Regions from separate parts of the Mus musculus genome. Here region 2 is reported to be linked to region 1. The links are microRNA targets in miRTarBase. Many come from high-throughput screens and were not tested one by one. Region 1 holds a microRNA gene; the other region holds the end of a gene's coding sequence.
Evidence for each region. The annotated mature microRNA mmu-miR-3078-5p reads CAAAGCCUAGACUGCAGCUACCU and lies in region 1 at 1,351-1,373, opposite strand. An mRNA with a match to its seed (bases 2 to 7 or 8) in the 3' UTR can be bound and repressed. Matches are read on the target gene's strand: a 7mer-m8 pairs with bases 2 to 8, a 7mer-A1 pairs with bases 2 to 7 and ends in A, and an 8mer does both.

Region 2: the mRNA of Sspn is a reported target of mmu-miR-3078-5p. Seed matches in the 3' UTR shown: 7mer-A1 at 1,289-1,295.

What each region holds. Positions count from the first base shown.
Region 1 is chr14:64,589,056-64,592,572 of GRCm38, reverse strand. It overlaps Mir3078 (microRNA 3078), which reads right to left and starts at 1,388; the gene lies at 1,302-1,388. It overlaps Mir124a-1hg (Mir124-1 host gene (non-protein coding)), which reads right to left. Exons shown (of 4, transcript NR_040709.1): 3 at 2,614-2,732; 4 at 1-2,300. Mir124a-1 (microRNA 124a-1) reads right to left here and starts at 1,916; the gene lies at 1,832-1,916.
Region 2 is chr6:145,960,914-145,963,913 of GRCm38, forward strand. It overlaps Sspn (sarcospan), which reads left to right. Exons shown (of 3, transcript NM_010656.3): 3 at 217-3,000. The coding sequence ends at 582. Among named protein-coding and RNA genes, the nearest start is that of Gm32838, 6.5 kb to the right of the region's middle.

The DNA of each region.
Region 1 (3,517 bases):
GGGGCAAATGGGTGTACCCCCAAAATGGTACAGCACACTAGCCGTTCTCTTCTAACCCATTTGTGAAGTGAGGGAGCACCCCAGGAAAGGGCCAATTTTTATTTCAAGGGAGGTAGATTTTCTCGAAGCAATGGCTATGGCGTCTCTTAGGACAGCCATTGTGGCTGGGTCTTTCCCTTTCTGCCTTGAAAGCAGTCTGGCTTGTCCGGTAGGACTCAGCCAGAGACACCCTCAGGGTGTGGGCACTGCAGCTTTCTGCCTGCAAGAGTAAGCAGGCGGTGGCTTATTTCTGCAGAGCGGGAGAAGGTTCTGGGAATGCCTAGGTGGAATGTGGTAAATTGAAGCTCAGCCTGGCTAGCTCTAACATTCTCTTCTGTGAGGAAATTTAGAAGTTGAAATCATCGTAAAGAAGGACACATAGTAGATACTCAAGAAATAATGAATACTCTTGAGGAAACTAGGCCAGAGAGGTACTGATCTATGATATACCCTCAAATACTAATTTACTAGACTAGATGAGGCTGAGGCTTTTTGAGACAAGAGTCCTCCATTAACTTCAACGGATGCTCTTTTAGACCCTGATTACTGTGTTAGGAATCAGATTAAACTCCTAAACATCCTTCATGGGCTTGGCCTTGCAAAGGCAGGCCTCTGGCATGACAGCAGGGGGGAGGGCTACAGCCTGCTTCCTGGGGGTGGGTTGTGGGGGGGGGGAGGAGGCCAGCTCTTGGCCTCCTTTCCCTCCCTCTGCTGCTGGGTCCTGCCCCTCCTCCATTTACTCCACCTGAAAATTAATGAGTTTAGGTCGGCCACCAGGCCATCATCCATCCACTGCAGGTTGGCGGAACACTGAGATGGAGACGGGATGGAACTGTGTCGGGGGCCTCCAGGACCAGCTGCTGCTGTTGGGGGCTGATTTGGGAAGCAGGTGCTTCAGGATGAGGGAGGATTAACCCTTTCTGTTCCTGGACAGCCTGCTTCAAAACAGACTTTCCTTAGGCCTCCACCTTACTCATGCTGATTTTCCTTCTGTCTTGGGGTTTTAAGAGCGATGGGGAGAGGCCCACACTCTGGGGGCTGGGGGTGGGCTGCGCCTCCTTTTCCTGTAGCTTCTGGATTTCTGCCTGAAACTTCAGCCACAGCCCCAAGGAGGCTGGGAGGCCCTGCTTTAGAGCAGTGGGCTAGCTGTCAGTTTTGATGGAGTCTGTGCGCTGTCCATGAACAAATTTGCCGATCGCCTTCGCTCACTCCAGAGATCTGTTTAAGCTTGTCAAATGCCCACAGCTCTCCACCAACGGGTGACAAACAGCTTCCCCTAAAGACTACCCCAGCAACCCCAAGCACAATACAAGGTAGCTGCAGTCTAGGCTTTGGGGCAGTCTGCCAGTCGCATGGGTACTTGGTTATTATTATTTGTTTAAGGGTAATAAATTGAAATCCGGAACTAAGACAGGTAGGGATGAAGGTGTCGGCCTTCTACAATGGGCAGGGTCCCAGAGCTGAGGGGCACATTTTACTCTCCAGCCGTCCCCAGGCTATTTTCTGCCGCCGCCGCCGCCGCCGCCACCACCACCACCACCCCCCCGCTTGCATAGATCCGTGTTTCTGTCACAGAATGAGTTGTTTGCTTCCTAGATTCTATTTGCATCTGCACAAACCCCTCTCTGTCGGTAGCTGCACACCTCCCCACCCTAAGGGCTACTTTGCGAGGCACTCAGAAGCCTGCTACCCGTACTGTGGGCGCCTGCAGCTGCAGCGCTGAGATCTGCCCAGGGCGTTGTGCTGGGTCGATCCTTCCGTGGCAGGCCCTCGTGGACCCAAGGTGCTCAGACAGCCCCATTCTTGGCATTCACCGCGTGCCTTAATTGTATGGACATTTAAATCAAGGTCCGCTGTGAACACGGAGAGAGAGGCCTTTCTCCTGAGGAAGGAAGAAGGAAGGAAGGAAAGAAAGAAGGAAGGAAGGAAAGAAAGAAGGAAGGATGGAAAGGAAGGAAGGATGGAAGAGAGGGAGGATGGGAGAAAGGAAGGGAGGAAGAAAGGAAGGAAAGGTGGAAAGAAAGGGAGGGGATGGGGAGAAGATGAGATGAAAAAAATGAGAGATGAGAAAGAAAAAGCTGGCGACGCGTGCGTGTGCGTGCGCACTGACAGCAGGGAGGGTGTGGGGTTGGGGAACGCGATGAGCTAAGGACCACCGCATCCTTCCTACCGCAGCTCCCCCAGTCACAGACAATGAGATAACAGCCACGTCCTCCGTAGGCTCTTTGTTCTCCCGCATCCTTTCGTTTCCAAGCTTTTTCCTGCAAAGGGGAGGGGGGTGGAGGGTTCGGGATGTGGGTGGAAGTGGGAGACGGAGGGGTGCCTCCCCCGTGTTAATTACCCCGACTCCCTCACTCCTCTCCTCGCGCTTCGCCTCCCCTGCAGTTCCAGACAATGAAAAAACATCAACCCCACCTCGCCCCACCGCAGCGAATCCTACCCACCCAGTTCGCTCTCAGCTTCGCCTAGGAAACTGAGGGGGGCCAGGAGGAGGGAGATGACGGAGAGGAAAGGGATGGGAAGCAGGGGCCCAGCTACTGCTGCCTGGGCAGGGCTTGTGACCGCCGCCTTTACCTTGAGTGTAGGGTCCGGGTGTAGCCTGGCCGGGCGTGCCGCAGGGCAGAGCTGCTGCGGTCCCTTACCAGGATCTGTGGGAATCAGCCTTCCGGAACTCTCCTGCTGCGGTCCTCTCGCTTAGGTCCCAAGTGGTGGATGGGAAAAAGGAAAAGAAAAAAAAAATAAATAAATAAGAGCGAGGCCCATCTGGCCCCTCATCAGCCTTGTCAAGTCTTGCATACGCTAAAATGCTAATGACCTAGATAGCTCATGCAAAATGCAGCAGGGAGGGACAGAGAAGGAGGGGGAGCGAAGGGAGAGCGAGAGAGGGAGGAGTGAAGGGAGAGGGAGGGGGAGACAGAGGGAGGAGGGAGACTGGGAGGGGGGAGGGGGAAAAGAGAGAGAGAGAGAGCGCGCACCCCTACATGTTCCCCCACCCCACCCGTCAACCGGTTTTACAGAGGTAAAGGGTGGGTGTAGATTTTAAAAGGTCACCCCTATAGAATGTAGCTGGGTGGGGTGGGGGAGAGATCCCCAAATCCATAGGGACAATAAAATATTATTTTAAGACCCCTCCCTCTCTGCTCTCCATCACTCTGTTTACACACAAGTCCAGTCACCTTATGCATGTACATGTCAATTTCACAAGACTGCTTTCAACAGACACCCACGTTGCCATTCCCTGAACAAACCCACCCAGTGCACCAGAGTGAGGAAGGTGCTTCCTAACCCACAGACCTCCCTCACCTGGTCCATCCCACTCCCTACTAGTGCCTTATCCTTTCAGGCAGTCGTCCCCCCCCCCCCTTTCTCTTTTCTAAGCCTTCCCCATTCTCCTTCCCAATGGCTCAAAAAAGCCAGGTAGAGGGCATAGAGGACAAGTTAAATCTAACTGGATCGGTTCCGTTCAGCTTCCCACCCA
Region 2 (3,000 bases), not on the chromosome of region 1:
TGGGAATTCAAGATCACCCTCAACTATAGAGATAGTTTGGGGTCAGCCTGGGGTACTCTGTTGCAAAAGTCAGTGATTTAACTAAACAGTGGGACGTAATATCCTTGGCTTTGGTTGTTAGGTTTTGAGAAGAGACTGGCCCTTGCCTGGGAGAACTCAGTCAAACAGGGTTGGCCAGTCCTCTCTGTAACAGGAAGCATTTCTTTTCTCTTGCAGGTATTCTACTTCCTGTTGAGTGCCCTCGGCCTGATGGTCTGCATGCTGGCTGTGGCCTTTGCCGCCCACCACTACTCCCTGCTTGCGCAGTTTACCTGCGAGACCTCCCTGGATTCTTGCCAGTGCAAGCTGCCTTCCTCGGAGCCGCTCAGCAGGGCCTTTGTTTACAGGGATGTGACTGACTGTACCAGCGTCACTGGCACTTTCAAATTGTTCTTAATCATCCAGATGGTCCTAAACCTGGTCTGTGGCCTCGTGTGCTTGCTGGCTTGCTTTGTGATGTGGAAACACAGGTACCAGGTCTTTTATGTGGGTGTTGGGCTGCGCTCCCTGATGGCTTCTGATGGCCAGCTACCAAAGGCCTAACAGGTTGGCTCAGAGGGAGACAAGCTCAGAAACGGCACACCCACTGACTAGGCAAGGTGAAAAAAACCACAATTTTGTAAAGGCAAACTTTTGACAACGAATACTTTTTCATTCTCTAAATGTGTATTTTTAGATTTTTTTTTCAGAAAACAAAACAACTTGTTTTTTGGATCTCTATTGTACTTTTTAAAAACTTCTTGTGAGGACAGGGGTGGAGAGACGGCTTACAAGTGAAGAGGACTTGCTGCTCTTGCGGAGGACTCGGGTTCAAGCTCAGTTCCGGAGCCCAAGTTCAGTGGCTCACAGTTACCTGTACCTCCAGCTCCGGGGACATTGGGAGCACACGCATGCGCACACGCGTGATTTAGAGAATCTAACCTATTTTTAAAGTTCTAATGAGAAACAAGATTCAAATTGACTTGGTGAACACCGAAAGGAAAAGAACACCAGACAGGGAAGAGATGACCTAGAGCCAGCGCTAGCTCTGGTGTTTATCCCAGCCGCCCTTACATCCTCACCCTCCTCCGCCTTCCCGTTAGTCCAGTGCGATGGTGTGAACTGGCATCACCCATAGACTCTAGAGTCTTCCGGCTCCTCTACCACCTGCCATTATCCCCGTGGTGTCTTGGGAAAGGTCTAAGGAAAGCTGGATCTCAGTTGAGTGCTTTTATGTTTTCACAGTGGAGATGTCTTCAAGGCATGAAATGGCTTTAAAAAAAAAAAACTAGTTGAACAGGAAGGCTGAGTGATTCTGAACACCTGGGCTGGGGTGCAGACTTCCGGTTGCCTTAGCTCCGATCCACGAGTGGGCTGCAGCCTCCGTGAGGTCTGATTCACCATAATTGAAAGGTGGTGCTGTTGCATTCTTAACGACGAGGAAAGTTTAAAAATAATTATATTATGCCTCTAGTCTGTCATCTAAAACAAATCATTAAGACTAATTTCCAGCTAATTGTTCATTATAATTATGCTCAGGATTCTGTTTAATGAGCTCTGGCTGTTCTTAGGCAGCACCGTTGGTGTTAGGAAAAATTACAGCCACAAGGGAAGATGGCTGAAGATCCACTTTCCTGGAAATCATCCACTGCAAAAAATGATCTTGTAAAACATTGAAACACTCTCAGAGGGGAAACAACCAAGAGCATTTGTCACAGGAAATGCTTATATTAACAACACATTTGTGATATTGAAAAGTATCTCCCAGGACCACCAAGTACCTTTGATGGGATTGGGTACTAAGTCCTGTCATACACATGGACTTCCTGGGAAATCCTAGTAATGAGGGCTTTTACAATTGACCTAGAGACAGAATGTCTCAAAGCCCTTGTTTGGGTGATACGTCCACAGTTAGGGTATTCAGTCTCAGTTTAGAGTTAAGACATGGTACTTGGTTAAGACAGACTTTGCTATGTAATTGGGTAAAATTCCACCAAAAGGAATGGGGTGGTGGTGGCACATGTCTTTAATTCCGGCACTTGGGAAGTAGAGGCAGGTGTATTTCTGTGAGTTGAAGGCTAGCCTGGTCTACAAAGAAAGTTCTAGGACAGCCAGAGCAGAGAGAGAAACCCTGTCTTGAAAAAAACAAAACTTAACAAACAAAAACAAGAAAAAAAAAGGGGGGGGGACTGCTTTCAGACAAAATTGCATGAATGCCACAGTAAGCTTCCTGGTACTAACCTGGGAAACCTTTAGTGTTTGTTAAGAATAACCAGCTCCGGGCTGTGGAGATGGCTCAGTTATCAAAGTCCTTGCCATCCCAGTAAGAACCTGATCCCATGTAAAACAGCCAGGCACAGGTGTGTGCTTGTGATCCTGGCATTGCAGAGGCAGAGACAGGCAGATCCCTGGGGCTCCTTCACCAGCCATCTTTAGTGTAGTGATTAACTTCAGGTCCATGATGAGAGAGTTTGTCTCAAGAAAAAAACCAACACTAAAAATAACCCGGAGTGGATAGCTGGCCCCTGGCCTTCCCATGAATGCACACACACAGTTAAGAGTAACCAATCTCACGCTGACTTTCGATAGTTTTCTATAAAACATGGTACATGGTAGAGAATCCAGGATGTCACGGGCTGTCCTTTCAAAGTGACGCTGTTTTCACGCCTGTTACTGTGCACCCAGCCCTGCTGGAAGCACACACAGAATGCCTTTGTCCAACAAACTCAACAGGTTTTTGTTTTTGTTTTTTAAATGAGGAAATTAAGATTCCCCCACACAGTTAAGTTGCTCTAAGCTTTACAAACGTATGCTTTACAAACAACTCACGGGGGGGGGGGGCATTTTAAAGGGTAGAGCAATTTTAGCCTGTGGGTTTCTTACTTTTCTAACACAACCAAGGCTTGGGGTGGTTCCAGCTTATAATATTCTGTCTGCATAAGATGGGGATTTTACTATTATGATCAAATTATTAACTTCCCA